2 linked regions of the Lonchura striata genome follow. The protein of the gene in region 1 interacts with the protein of each later gene in a pairwise test. Links are inferred from orthologs where the notes say so. Each region holds a gene or a part of one and is shown in the gene's direction. Other genes may lie near its edges.

The links. The genes of interacting proteins can lie anywhere in the genome.
Region 2: the proteins of MAFG (region 1) and BACH2 interact in binary tests that used the Homo sapiens proteins (3 or more experiments, as listed by UniProt). The link is inferred for Lonchura striata from reciprocal best matches to the Homo sapiens genes MAFG and BACH2.

The regions. Positions count from the first base shown.
Region 1 is NC_134621.1:11,960,958-11,968,637, reverse strand, and holds the start of MAFG (transcription factor MafG), read left to right. Parts: upstream 1-4,587; 5' UTR 4,588-4,724; intron 4,725-5,627; exon of another isoform or gene 5,628-5,768; intron 5,769-7,680. Other genes in the region: PYCR1 (pyrroline-5-carboxylate reductase 1, mitochondrial), read left to right, coding at 601-822, 1,289-1,381, 1,766-1,929, 2,028-2,178. UniProt on the Homo sapiens protein: Since they lack a putative transactivation domain, the small Mafs behave as transcriptional repressors when they dimerize among themselves.
Region 2 is NC_134605.1:77,651,972-77,659,685, forward strand, and holds the start of BACH2 (transcription regulator protein BACH2), read left to right. Parts: upstream 1-4,681; 5' UTR 4,682-5,031; intron 5,032-7,714. UniProt on the Homo sapiens protein: Transcriptional regulator that acts as a repressor or activator. Binds to Maf recognition elements (MARE). Plays an important role in coordinating transcription activation and repression by MAFK.

The DNA.
Region 1 (7,680 bases):
TGAGAGGGGACCGGGCCGTGCAGGGCGAGCCGGGAGCTGGTTCCACTCCTCTGACCCCGCGGAGCCGATGGACGGACTTGTCGTACTTGTGCTACTCAGGACTAAAGTCACGCAGCAGCAAAAAACTTGGTTTTGGTCACCTTTGCCTGTCTTCATCAGCAAATGCTATTAGAGGTTTTATCCAGCTTTTCTCTCACGTGAGGTGCTGTCCGATTATGTTTCTATTACCAGCAGTAGGTCATCTCCCCTGAATTTCTGCAGAATTTGTCTTAAGTGTCTGCAGGAGCTGTTTTGGAGATCTGTGGGTTGATGTGGGTTTGAGGCCTTTGGGATACTGTTTCCAACCTGATTTTGCCCAGCTCCTGCTTTGCTGGTACTGACTAAGGCTTCACGTTCACGGATGGGCTGCTGTGACTCAAAGCAGGACATTTGAGATACACAGGTCTCTCTTTTCCTTCTGCTTGTGTTGTTCTTGCCCCTGGTGGGGGGGGTCCTTTCCTGGACAGCCCATTGATGAAAAGTATGCACTAAAGCTCATTTTTCTCCCTTCTTTCTTTTTTTTTTTCTTACTTTCTATCTTCAATGATTTTCTGCCCTAAGAAACTCTCTACCTTCTGCCCCACACCAAAAGTGATCAGGTGCATGACCAACACCCCTGTGATAGTCCGGGAAGGTGCTACAGTCTATGCCACTGGAACTCATGCGGATGTGGAAGATGGGAAGCTTTTGGAACAACTGATGGCCAGTGTGGGCTTCTGCACCGAGGTGGAAGAGGACCTCATTGATGCTGTAACGGGGCTCAGTGGCAGTGGCCCTGCGTATGTATGTGCTATTTCATCAGCTAGTGCCAGTCTTAGGGAGAGCAGTTGGCTTGCCTGCTAAAAAATCTGTGCAACTTCAGCTTGTATTTTTTTTTTTTCTCCATCACCCATATTTGCAATGGGACATGTATTCCAGGTGTTCAGTTTGGGGCAGCAGGAAAATTTTTTTAAGAGTCAGATGAGTCTGAAGTCCATAGCCAGTGTGCAGTGTCCACATGTCCATGTTGCAAAACTTGGGCCTGTAGTTTGCATGATGCAGAAGCTGAATTTCTCCCATTCCCTCCACTCCTGAGCTGGAAATAGTTTGAGGGAAGCCTGGCATGGCAGCCATGAATGAAAGAGGGAGGCATTTTGTCAAGTCTGTGAGTGATAGGAGTCACAGAACAGTCCTAAAGGCCTGGATTCTCTCTTCCCTAAGACCAGTCCTAGAGCAGTCTTTCAGTCACCTTCTTCCTCTCTGGTCTCAGGCATTCACTGCCCTGGATGCTCTTGCAGATGGAGGAGTAAAGATGGGCCTTCCCCGCAGGCTGGCAGTTCGACTGGGAGCACAGGCTTTGCTGGTCAGTATTACCTCCTGCATAACAAATCTGAGTCTGTGCCTGCTCTTTGCAGAGGAATCTACACATCACAGTTTGAAATTATCTTGGTCCTCTCACAGAATCTGCTTTAAAGAATGGATTTGGTTTGAATGCACACAGGTTCCTGGTGAGGGGCTCTAGGAAGTGTCTGCAGCACTCTGCTGGTGCTGCTGGTGCTGTGGGAGATGGATCCTGGGAAACTCTGCTCCTTTGCAGGCCTCATCAGTTCTGAAAAATGTTTTGGCAGCCTGCAGGAGCCTAGGTTTGCCTGTTGTGAGTGTTGTTGCTGCTCTGTGCAGTGAGAACAGGAGTGTCTGACAGTGGCTTCCTCTTTCAGAACTCTGGCAGGTGTTTTCCTTGCTACAGGGTGCCGCCAAAATGCTGTTAGAATCTGAGCAGCATCCAGGTCAGCTGAAGGACAATGTCTGCTCACCTGGGGGAGCCACTATCCATGCCCTGCACTTCCTGGAGAGTGGCGGCTTTCGCTCACTCCTCATCAATGCTGTGGAGGCTTCCTGTATCCGGACAAGGTGGGCAACTGGGAAGTCCTAAAGAGTTTGCAAGACTTTCCCCCTCCACTCTCCCCATCTTATTTTTTCTGTCTTCCTCTCCCACTACCCGATTGCAGGGAGCTGCAGCATTTGGCAGACCAAGAGAAGATTTCCCCGGCAGCCATAAAGAAAACATTGCTGGACAAGGTGAAGCTGGAGTCTCCTTCTCTGTCTGTAGCATCTGCTAGCAAAGTCAGTCTGTTCACCAGCAAGAGCAAGAAGAACTGACCAGACTGCTATATTCTGGCAGTGCTGAATGTCAATGTCCTGGTTGCAGCCAGGACAGGGTTAATTTTTGCAGTAGCCAGGAATAGGTGGCCAGGACCCTGGTTATTCTGTGCATCTTAAGTGTGGGCAAAGGGGGGGGAGGAAGGCTTGAAGCAGGGGAGAGGGGCTGAAGAGGGGTGGGAAGAAGGGGTCCCTTCTGGCTGGTTGCATGACGCGAGTAGTGGTGAGCAACCACGTGTGAATCCTTCACCTCTCTTCTACGCTTTTCTTAATATTGATGCTGTTATTATTTGTTTTCTTATCTCATTACTGCTTCCAGTAAATTGTTCTTGTAGCAAACCACAATCTTTACCTTTTGTGCCTCCAGTTCTCCTCTCCAGCCCACCACAGAGGGAGACGGACAAGAGGGCAGTGAGTGAGCGTTTGAGTATTTCAGTGGGAATGCTAGTACAGGGAATACCATTCCTAAGCCATTATTGTTCTCTGTGTTATTTCTCTTTTGTCCAAGGAAAAATACTCAGCACGTTGGTGTCCCCTGTACCAGGCTTGTGGCTTGCAGCAGCTGTAGCAGAGGGTCTTTAACTTGTAGTGGGCTTGGTGAGCTGTCCCTGGCATGGTGTTTTCTTGGGCAGGGGTGATGCTCTCATCAGAGCTTTGTCAAGGAAATCATTTGTCCAGAAGCCTTGGGTACTTCCAGGACTCAAGCAGTGTTTGTGGTGTCCCATGCAGAAATTTTTTTAACAGGATTTTTAAAGATGTTTCAGAACTTTTGGTTTCAAACGTTTAATTATCTCTAGCCCCATCTTGCACCTGCTGTCAGAGCTTATGTCCTGTCGCTGGCGTTACTAGCTGGAGCAGATGCTGCCACACAAAGTCCATACTGCATGGTGCATCATGGGCTGGGCCCAGAATCACCTCTTGGAACAGACCAACTGCCTCTGTCCGATCTCCCAGCCCTTAGGGAGATATGAACATCAGACTGTGCTCCTTTTCTCTCCAGCGGCTGCCCATTCTCTCTGCGCAGTCTGGTTTGGGGAACTGTGACCTCTCACTGCCCCTCTTTTACTGCTGGCCTTCCTTGGGTGGTTTGGCAGGTGGAGGGGTAGTGAGTTTTTACATTTCCTGCTGTCTCTGAGGTGCTGGTGACGGTAAAGTATTTTTAGTGTTAAGACTTTTGACTGCCAGCAAGGTATGACCCTATAGGTATGACAGATGGTTACTCCTCTTCCCTCTTTACATAAAAAACTGTGTCTCTGATGAGAGCTGTGGCTAATCCCAACTGCTTTGACTGGGGGTATCCCTTGCCACTGGCAGTGGCCACTAGGTCAGGAGTCCTTGGGTCTCATATGTTCCTCGGTTTCCTGCTCAGGATCTGTAATACCTGTGCTGACAGGCCAGGCTGGAGGTCAGACGGATAAAGTACTGCCTGATGCAAAATGCAAGGAAGTGTTGTGGAAAGAGTTCTCACTTGGCTGAAAAAGTGGGATGCAGAATGAATGGATGCCTGAACTTGACCCCCTCTGCCAGGAGATTAAGGGGGTGCCCCTGGGTACTCCCAGAGACACAGCTGTAGATGAACTTCCTAGATCGTTATAGACCTGTAACTGAGGTGGGCACCAGAGCGGATGGAAACCCAGCCCATCAGGGGCTACAAGAGGCGTTGCAAGGCGTGCGGTCACATCCCCTGTGCACAGAGCAGCTGCTGCTGGATCCGGGCCCAGCCGAGCCCCTGCTGCTCCTACGGGGCACAGTTTCTCCTTAACCCCTTGTGCCCGCTTTCATTGCTGGACTTTCCACTGGCCCCTCGCCCTTCTCTGGTATGCTCATGTTGTCCTCCCTTCTTGGCCTGTAGCATGGCATCAAACAGTAGGCACCAGTGTGAGTGTCGTGGACCCGAATCGTATCAGGAGGGCCGGGAACACACCTGGAGCGAGCCCGGCGTGACTGGGAAAGCGGCGTTTCGGAGCAGTGGTGGTCCCGGCCCTACCGCTGCAGGCGGGGCCCGCCGCACACGGAGCCGGGCTCCGAGGGACCGCGGGCGCAGCTCAAAGGGAGCGCGGAGCCGCCGGTGCCGAGGGCCCTGCCGGTGCGGGCGGAGGGACTGCGCGCTATGAAACGCGCGACGTGCCACGGGGGAGAGCGCAGGAGGCCGGTGGCTGCTGTCAGAGACGGCGGAAGCTGATCCGCGGCCGACCCAGTACTTTGCCGGAGCGGCAGCGCTCGCCCCGGGACGGGAAGTCGACTGCGGCGGCGGGAGGCGCCGGCAGGGCGCGGAGCGGGCGCCGGGCCGGTCCCGGTCGGGCCGGGGCCGGTCCCGGTCGGGCCAGTCCCGGTCGGGCCGCGTTCCCCCCGCTGCCCCCGGGGAGCGCGGCCCCCTTAAGGCCCGGGGCGGTTGCGCCGGGCGCTTCATGAATGGAGCCACGTGACCCAAATATCACGTGACGAGTCGGTGAGCGGCGGCGGCGGCGGCTCGTGAGTCCCGGTCCCTCCCAGCGCGGCCTCCCTGCCCCGCCCGGCCTGGCCTGGCCCGGCGGCCCCGGCAGGAGGTGAGCGCCACCGGCAGCGAGAGCGGGCGCGGCCTTGGCACCGGCCGGGGTGGGGCGGGCCGGTCCCCGGGGGCGGGCCGGGGCGGGGCGGGCACGGCGGGCCCCGGGATGGTGGCCGGGGCCGCTGCGGGGTCGGCAGTTGCCCAACGGGGCCGCCACCGCTGACTCACAGCGGGGCTTTGGGGTCGCGCCGGCCCGGCGCCGCCCGGCCCCCGCCCCGCCCCGCCCCGCCCCGGCGTGTCCGGGCCCCGCTCGGCGGCCGAGCAACAGGTGCGCGGGGCGCTGGCCCGGGGCCTGCCCCGGCCCTGCCCACCGCCTCCCGGGTCCGCCCGCAGGCATCGCGGGCGCATCCGGCCCCTCCCTCCCGCGGGTGTCGAATGCCCCGGTCGGGTTACAGACCGGCTGCCCTCAGGCCGAACCTGCCCCTCTTAACCCCGCCGCACCTTCGGGCGCTCAGGCCCCCGGCGGGGCCTCGCGTCCCCCTCTCCCGCCGGGCTGCCGCCCCCAGCCCCGCGGGTGTTCGCCGTGGTCTGTCGTTCTTCTCCAGAGAACGGGAGGGCCGGGAGGGTGAGGAGCCATCGGGGCGTCTCGCCCGGTTCCCAGGGCAGAGTCAGGCAGCACAGCCCCGCTGCCTGCTGTCGGTACCTTGTCCTCGGTAGCTGCAGACGTGCGGGTGGGAGGTTCTGGTCCGTAGGGGCTGCCCGGTGCTGGGCGCTGCAGTGTCCCCCCGGTGGAGTGGGTTTCCACTCCCGCGGGAATGCTGTGTGCGACCGGCACGGAGGGGCTGCGTGCGTCTGTGCTGTGCACGCCTCGGTCGTGCTGTTCCGAGCTGGGCACGTCTCTGGCTGCCCGGGATATGTGAACTGTGTGATCGGAGGAGGGCACTGCCAAGGGTGGGAGGGAGTCTCTCAGAGCTGGCCCTTTGCTTTAGCAGTGTGAGCAGAGTTAAAACCAGCCGGGTGGGCAGATTCCTTGAGGAAAAAATTGCTCAGGGTTGGATGACCTCGCCAAGGAAACAGAGGAGGCACTATCTTGGCTACACAGGTAATTTGGGGAGTCGTTGGATGAGACTGTGTGAGCCAATTTGCCAGCAAGCAAATAAACAGAGTATGAAATTCACACTGGAAGAGAGTGTTTCTGTGCTGTGTCCCCTTTCGCTGCTGACAAATCACACTCCTGTGCCTGCCAGAGCCATGGAGCCCGTGTGGGAGCGCAGCCCTCACTCTGCCCGCGCTGGAGCAGGTGACATCACCATGTTTACATGGGGCTTGTGGCAGGGTTCTGCATCAGGAGTGCGGAGAAGGGCCCATGGTGGATCATGCGTGGTGCTTTCAGTTCCCATGTGCTGCCACTAGCTGAGGGGAGAATTGGCTGTGCTTGTGCTGAGTTCAGGCCTTTTGAGCACTGGGGAAATGTGTCAAGGCTGCAGTTTCTTCATTGCAGCCATAGTATTTGGCACTTTTCAGTGTGATCTTTCTTCAGGAAGCTATCAAAAGCTGATCCATCAGCAGTCTGGAGAATAAGGCGAAGTTTGGTCTCTGCTATTTTGCCAGTTCTCTGGATGTCCTCCTTGTGAGTTGCCAAACAGCCCAGTTAAAACAGGACCCAGGAAACTCTTTGGGTTGTTCTTTCCATTCTACTGACTGCCCTACATGTTTCTGCACCTTGGAGAGGTGGGATCACCAGGTTTTTGGGGACAATCTGTTGCAGCTCTGATGACTGTTGTGAGAGGCTCCTACCTGAGAGGGTGTTGTGCTAGAGTGTGCAGGGGCAGGAAGGAGTAGCTGCCTCTGCTGTGTCTAGCTTTGCCAGCACCAGCCATTCCCCAGCCTGCTGAGGAGCGCTCTTCCCAGTGCCCTGCCTGATGCAGCATGCATGTGCCCTGTTTGTTCCATTTTGGGTCTGCTGTAATGAAGGTAGCCTGTGTGCTTACCAGGTAGCTGCAAATTCTTTAGTGCCACAGAGTGAGCAAATTCCTGTGGTTGCACTGACCATACCTATCCTTGACTCCTTCCACTTGAAAGAGGACAGGGAACGCAAGTGCTGCAGGGGCATGCACATTGGTGTCTCCAGCTATTCCCTTTCCTCTCCCCTTTTCCTAGCAGACATGTTGTTTACCAGATAGGAACAGAAGGAATAAAGAGCAGTCTAGGAAGGAGGGAAGAATTGATTTTGTGCAGCAGTTGCTTTTATGCTGCCTGTCCTGCCTCACTGCAGCTGCCTTCCTTGGGCAGTAAATGACCGTGCCTATGCCAGTGTGGTTGGGTGTAGCAGACATCTTGTTGGAAGGAGCATTGTCCTCTAGGTATATATAAATAGCCTGGCTCCTGGCAGGCTGCAGGCTTCAGAATATCTCTGCTGGTGTTCTGGGGACTGCTAGTCCTGCTCACCTCCAGTAGGGTGTAGTTGCACTGTAGGGAGCCTGTGCCACAGCTGCTGAAAGAGCACTAAGTCATATTTGCTGATGTGTGCATTTGGTTCTGGTCTGTAACTTGACATCAGTCCTGCTGGGAGTAAGGCAGGGGCAGACAAAATTGTTGTTTGACACCTGCAAGATGAAAGGGTCAGGGGTACCTGTAGGCTGCACAGGAATTCTGGCCAGGGCTGAGTGGGCGCAGTCTGGGCTGAGAGGGAAGTGCACTTTGGGGTGTTTGAGATACAGCCATGTCTGTCAGGTGCTATCTGTGTGGATCAATTCCTTGGGCAGTGTAGTAGCAGTCTGAACTGAAAAGCCTGCACAGAGGAGATATGTGGGGAAAGAAGCAGGAGCCCAGGTATAAGTCTCTTTAAAGCAGGCCTGGGAATTGCTCTTACCAGTTCTGAAGTCTTGTCTTCCATGGCAGGGAAGGAGTCTGCTCTGAGTTTTGGTATGTTTAATCTTTGTTTTCTTGTGAGCACACCTTGACTCTTAGGATAAGGAGGAAGAAGGTGTTTCTGGCCCTGGCATGCCAGGAAT
Region 2 (7,714 bases), on another chromosome or scaffold:
TTTTCTTTTTGAAAAAGATAAAAACCAGTGAATCCACTCAGTCACCACAAAATACTTTTTGGAAAAAATGTGTAAACCTGAACGATTCCTGGCCCTCTGTTTCTTGACATACAAAGAGGTCCCTATATTCCCTTTTCATTATGTTACCTGCATCAATTTAAAACAGGTCAGTGCCTGCCCTGTTTTCCTACCTTGCTTCCTGTCACTGTAAGTTTAGTCCCAGCAACAATGTTGATACTTCAATATATTTCCAATATTATATCTCACCAGATCCTCAAAATTCCATGCCAGGGATCTGAAGCTCTGTGCATGACAAATGCTCCTTTGTGCAGCTTTTGATGTGATGTCAAGCCACGCTCCAGAGACGCTACACTGTGGATCTTTGATATTGCACACCATGACAATGTCTCCTTCGTAGCTGTCACCGCCACTGACTCAGGGCGTGCTGTTAGTACTGTCAGTGCTCCAGGAAATGTAACATACCTGGGGTGTGTTAGGACCTGCTTGTGAAAAGACATACGGTGCCTGTAGGATAATCAATAATCAACTGTGAATTTCTTAATCACTGTGAAGAAAATGATGCAGTGTCATTAAGTCTACCTGCATAACCCAGGAGAATATGTGCATAATTACCAATAATTACTTAGATCTCAGCACAGGACCAGAGCTTACACAGGAAAACTGGTATTTTTCAACCCAAATGCTAAAGGGCAAAATGTGCTTCAGAAGGAAATGACAACTTCCTGAATTAAAAATTTGCAAGATTTGTCCTTATTTTTCCCTTTTCACGCTTTCATTACCATTGTAAAGATCAAATTGCATAAGATCCACTAACGTGTTGCTCATTCAAAGTCTTTGAGTCAGCGTGGTTGAAGCCAAGACTGCAGTACTTGTCTTTCCATAGCACTTTAAATTAGGAATTGCCTCTCACTAGGAAAAAGCCATTTGTTTTTATAAATACATGACTGAAATACCTTGCAATACACAGAGCTCTCCAACAAGTGGCACTATTAAGACTATTCAAGTTACAAGATTGATATGCAAATGAGATCTCAGAAAGGGATGTTGGGACATGTTTTACAATATTGGATTCACTTTAAAATCTTTTAGATTTACATATGAAATATGATTGAAATATGTATTCATAATTCAGCTACTCTGGAAAGTTTTGTGTTATCCAAAAAGGAACCACTGAAAAGTAGGTCAAGTGCCATAGCAGGCAGTCCTCCTCAAAGAGATGAAGTCATGGCAGTGTGGAGAAACCACCTAATTAATGTTAGTAAAGGTAACATGCAACCAGGAAATTTGTCCATAGCTCTGAGTCAACACATGTTGTTGAATGTGTGGATGCAGCCTTTTCTGGAGGATGAGCTGCAGCATTCATGGCAAGTTCTCCTTTGAAGTATTCTTGGATCAACTTCTAAACTGTACCTCTTCACATCCATTCTTACCTTATTTTGTTGTTATTGCTTGACAAAATGGGTGTTGTTTTGAGACACCCACCATGATGCCTCTTCAAATAACTCATAGTTGGCTGGAATATATGTTTGGTTGCACTGCAAGAAAAATGGTCCAGAAATAGTTATATATAAAAAAATCTAGGCATGAAGATAGTTGATTGCAATGCAAACAGTATCAGACCAGATTCATTGCTGGAATATAAACAGTTTGGAAATGAATTGGGAAGCCAAGGCATTAAAATGTAAAATATGTGATATAAAAATACAACTTTTAAACAGTAGGCTTTATTTGGTTAGTATAATATTCCTTTTGGTTAATATAATATTCCTTCTGTATTTGGAAAGAACTGTCATCTTTTCCTCAGTTTTCTACTGTTATATGGAGATACAACAGCCATAATAAAATCATGATCCAAGTGACTTATGGGATTGTGAACTCTGCCTTGAATTATGAGTTGATCACAAAATGATTAATAGCATTTGGGTACCAAAAGCTTCATAGAGCTACTTGGTGAGCTTCTGTGCAGAGCCCCTGCTTAGCTCTACCTTCTTTCACTCTGTGCTGATATCTCTGTCCTGCACAAGCATGACCCGATTCACATTGAAGCCACTGCACATTTTATCACAGCATAGATTGAATAATAAAACCCAAAATGGACATTCTCACATTCCTCCTCCTTTTAGCCAAATAGTAGCATTCATTTTAAAACATCAGCTAGTAAGATAAATGGCAATTATTGTGCTATGGGCAGAGCATACATGGCGTGCTTTGTTTCCAGTTTGGATGGCTTTGACTACCTGAAGCCATATCTCCTGTAGTGTGCTGTAAATAACAGAGTATGTGCACTTTGAATGCAGTGGCATAATGGGCATGTAGCGTGCTAACTAAAGCATTACAAATGCTGCATGGCTTATTTTTATTTCTCTGTCCTTCTCATTATAGTATTTTTATCTCCCATGTCAATACAAAATTATTTTTGTGTCTGAGGGATAAACAAGGCAACACAAAAACTCAGCCCTACTAGTGTATAAACATGATGAGTCTCCTTACACCCTGTGGGACTTTTTGCATGCTTAATACCATATATGTCTGCAGAACCAGAACCTAAATGGCACTGGTGAGCAAGGCTTCACATGAACATTACTTGGAAAGGGAAAGTGACGTTTATGAGTCAAAATCTCTGTTGGGGTGCTATTCTGCAGCTACATGTAGCTAGGAAAAGTAGGGGCAAAATGGGGTAAGTAACTAAATGCTTTCCACTTTACACAAGTGGATAATAGTGCAAAATGCAAAATGGGGAGAATCACATTTTTTAAAAGTGACTATATGCTTCCCCTGAAATACAAAGAGTTGAATCTAGGTTGACAACATAGTTTTCTGTAGTTTAGCAGACTTCAAAAATGCAGGTAGCTGATGCAATTTCAGAAGACATCATTGAGAAAACTTCACAGGAATGGCTCCTTTCTAAAAGATACAGAAAACACAGTATATCATCTGGCTATAGTGAAAGGGGGAAACAGAGGATGAAAATACACAATGAAAACTGACAAACGCAGAAAAAATAACAAACATGCACATGTTAATTACTGAACGTGCTTTTGCTAGCAGTAGGTCACCATCATTCTTTATTGACATTTACTGCAACGGCAATTTCTTTTTCAAGATCATTGACCCAGGAAAATGTAACCCTCTAGTTATCCAACGCCCTTTAATTAGAGATGTCTCCAAAGATAATCTCACTCACGGCCCCTATTGTGAATCATTTATTCTCCAACTTTCCTTTTTATCAGCTGTCTTTCATCTTTATGTTTTTCTGTCCAGGCTCGGCTGAGTAACTCGGGCTTGCAGAATGCTAATGCTGCTTATTCATTTACCGGTTCTCCCAACTGCATTTCATGGCCACTGACATTTGGGGTCTCGCTCAAAAGCACAGGCTGCCGGCACCAGGATAATTTGCAGGAATCACAGCTTTCCACTTGGCAAAAGAAACCGTGGCACCAAGCCTCGGAGTGGGAAAAGGGTTCGGATTCGGGTGGTTCACTCACACACACACACACTCACTCACACGCACACGCACACACACACAGCCGAGAGGAGGTGAAGAACAATCCGCGCTCCCGCGTCGGGAACACGCGGTCGGGGTTTTGTTTTTGTTTTCAGTCCCGGGAGCGCTCACCTCCCCGCGCGATGCTCGGCACGGCTGACTCATGACTGCTGGGCGCTTGCGGTCGGCACTACAAGTAGGATGAGGTTTCTCCGGGGGGCGGAGCGCGCAAAATACCGCAGGCATCAACACCGAGGCGACCCCGCTGGCAGCCAGGGGTGACCGGGGTGGGTGTTCTCTGCCCTGCCCGTCGCACCCTTCCCAGTGCCTTCCCACCGCCACAGCCGCCGTAGCGGGGCCCCCTCAGTCCGCCCCCGCCGCCATGGCGGCCCCTCGCGGCGGACTACGGCTCCCAGAGCCCCCCGCGGCCGCCGGCGCGACCCCCGGTGCGGGGTCTGGCGGCACACGCACGCACGCACGCACCCCCTCTCTCGCGCGCACACACACACACACATATACACAAACAGACATGTATACATACATACATACATACACAAGACACATACATACATACATACACACAGACACACACATACATACATGCACACACACACATGCACACACAAACACACGCACTGCCGCGGGAGGGAGCGAGCGAGCCCGTGCCGCGCATGCGCTGACCGCTTGCGGAGGGGCGGGAGGGGCGGGGCGGGCGGAGCGCCGGCGGCGCCACCGCTATTCGCGGAGCGGCCGTACGCCGCTCCCCGTGCGTAGGGGCCGCGGCGGGCGTAGGCGCGGCGGCGGGCGCTGCGCCGTTGGCGTAGCGTTGTTGTGAATGGAGCGCGCGGCGGGGCGGGGAGGGTGACGTCAGCCTGCGAATGTCAACAATGTAGCGATTGAGGGGCGGGGGCGGCGCCGGGCCGGGGCGCGGGAGGCGGCGGCGGGCGGCGGAGCCGGGCAGCAGCAGCGGCCGCGGCAGCAGCAGCAGCACAGCAGCGCCGCCTTCTCTCCTCCGCCTCCACCGGCCGGGCTGCCACCGCCGCCGGCCCCGGGTGCCGCTCCGGCAGCGACACAGCCGCCGCGGTGCTGCTCCCCCTCCCCCCCCGCTCCGCCGCCCGCCCTCTCTCCACCCGCCCTCCCTCCGCTGCGGCTTTCTCTCCTCCTCCGGCCCCCCTGCCAGCCCTCCCCTCCTTCCCTCCCTTCCCCCTTTATTTTTCTCCGCAAGACTTTGGCTCTGGAAACAGCTGGTTCAAAGCAATCGCCATGTGATGATCGTCTGGGTCGGGTTTTTTTTTTTTCATTTGGGGGGGGGAGGGTGCAGGTTTCTGACCGCAGAGAAATACTAATAAGAATTTCCGAAACAACAGCAGCAGCAACAACAAGAGCAACCTCCCCCTTCCCCAAACCTCCTCAGCCGTAACAGCCCCCCCACCCCCGGGCCCACTCCACCCCGCCCCACTGCCTCTCCCACCTCCCTCCCAGGCTGCAGCGAGAGGGGCGACCCCCGAAAGTTGCGCGGAGGCGAGGTGAGTGCGCCTGTTCCGCGGCTCGGCAGCCCCGCCGGGAAGGGCAACGGGCGGGAGGGGGGCGAAGTTTGGGGGGAGGCTGGCCGTGCGTGGGGGGGGGCAGCGTGGCTTCTCCCCTCCTTCTCCTCCTCCTCCCAAGCACAGCAGCTGTTGCGCGGGGTCAGGCGGGGGGCTGCACCCCCGCCCCCGGAGCTCCGCGGGCTTTGCAGGCGCGCTTAGCGCTTATTCCTTAAAGTGGGAAATACGCGCGTTGCGTAACGGGGAGTGCGCGGCGGGCGCGCGTGTGTCCGTGCGCGCTCTCCGCTCCCCTCCGCGCTGCCTCGCACGGGCGGGACCCGGGCAGCCCCTCCGCCGCGCCCGGCGCCGCGGCCACCTGCACCCGCGTCCCGCCGCGCCCCCGCTGCCCCCGGTCCCGTGGGCTCGGGGAGGGATGCGAACTCCGGTAACAGTTTCTAGGATCCTTAAGGCGCGGCGTGCGGGCAGGGCAGCGCGCCGCGGAGACGCTGGCTGTCATGAAAGAGGCTAAGTGTGAAACCGTGCCTCTCCTTTTGTGGAGCGGGCTATTTTGGTCATGCAGCGGGTGTCTCGCTTAAATCGCTTCAGTTGCCGTGAGATCATTGTGCCCTTGTTATTGAAGCTCCGGAGTAAACCCCGGGTTTCAGTCTTTACTAATAAACGTGAGGCAGGGACGACATCTGATTAGAAATACTCTTTAAGATGTTGGAAAGACTGGGAAATTACAGCGTTCCTGTTTATTCTTGTTGAAGCCGTGTCAGTGTTTTCATGATGAAAGCCCGTTTTCAGAGACTTTGGAACTGTCGCTAAACTTGTGCATATTTTAATTTTTTTTTTCTGAGGCTCGAGCTGAAAACAAGTTGGGTTTTATTTTTTTGGGTTTTTTTTTTGAGCTGGGAATTGTCTGAGATTCTGCCGTAGCTAGTGGAATGCTCTGCAGTTTGGGGAGGGTGGTGATGCTTGGGTAAATTGACTTTTTTAGATATGTAAATACTGAAATCTGAGATAATTGCTGAGATGAGATGGGTAGAATAAAACGATAAGGTGGTGTGTTAGGCTTTTACTGCAACAGCCCCATAGACAACAGATCTAAACCACTGTTCTAGGAGCTTTACATGTGACAAATAGAAATAAAATTCCACCTCACATGTGGGCTTGCTCTTTTAAAAGCCTTGTTGCCTTTTGTGTCCACCCGCCTGCCCCCTGTCACTGGGATCTGGACAGCTGTGCAGCAGAATGGATCGGCGTTGTACTTCCCTGCCGTGTGCTGAACCTGAGCTTTCAGCGTTGCTTTTCACATTTGACCCTTCAGCTTCAAAGGCTGTTCTGAAGGTGCTCTGCAAGGAATGGAAGGAAGCCGTGACTAATTGGAAAAGTAGAGAACTGAAAAATCAGGATCATAGGTCTAGTTTTCTTGTTAGTTTCCTCTGTAACGCCGGGTGAGCCACTCAAACAGATGTACGCTAGTACACAGCTGCCAAGCGGGCAAGAGAGGTCCCTAGTGATTTTGGAGATAGGGTTCTCAGGATATTTAGTGATCTTTTGCAGAAATGCTACAGAGGAGCAGAGTGTGCATTTCTGGGCAATGCTGGACAACGCTGCTGTGAGACCTGAGGTTAAACAGATACAATTTTTTTAAACTTTTACCGTTGTGGAGGGTAGATGGGGAAGATGCACACAGTGAATAGATGATTAATGCACATGCTGACAGATGTGTTAATCAACAGCAATTGTTTATGTTGAAGTGTCTCACACTGGGAAACAGTTCTAGGGCAGGTACTCCTAGTCTTTTTCTGACCCAGAAGCACATCTGGAGCATCTGTTGGTGCTAATGTGCATGCTGGCAGATTGCTCTGGTGAGGTAGGTGGGATTCCTTCCTCTCTTTTCCTCTTGGCTTTCAGTCATTCATTTTGCAGCAAGAAAACATTGGCTGTTTGCTCTTTTGTGTTGGGGAGGAAGTTAGGCATAAAACCTGAGTTTATGAGGAGATTTTGGTAAATCTTTGACACTGGAGAAGTCTTCAGATACTCATTGAAATAATTAAGTCTCCATAATATATAGCAGTCTTACATACCTCTTTCTGCAAGTGCACAGTAAAAGACAAAGAGCTGAAAATAAAACCCTGTATAGATGACATGTAGTGTGGAATATGTGACAGAAGTTGCTTGCCTTTGCTTATTTTAAAACTTTTGTTGCTTGATTTTTCAGTTTGAAGTGACAGTTTTTCTTAATGAGGCTGCAGTGTGATTGCCTATTATTTTCTTCTAGGTTTTCTCTAAAGGTGTAGTGTAAAAAAAAAAAAATCAGGGTGTTTTTTTTTAAGAATAGAAATAGATGTTTTGTCACTGTGACATTCTTTTTGGGTAGGGCTTCACATATGTGCAGATAAAGAAACTTCCCAGACCATAGCAAAGAGAGGTTTATGGCACTAAGCTGAAAAATGAGATGGGTAACATTAATATATGCAAAGTAATCTTTTCAGTAGTAATGGCGTTTTTATGTAATAAACTTGGTAAAATTGAATAGTATTTATTGTGTGACATGAACAGTGTCTCTTGTGGTTTTAATTTAGGTGGTATGAACATGGTTTATGTATTCAAATCAAAATGTGTATGCCTTTTTACTCAAAGGAATACTTTGTGAATGGCTTCTTAGTTTATGCTAAGA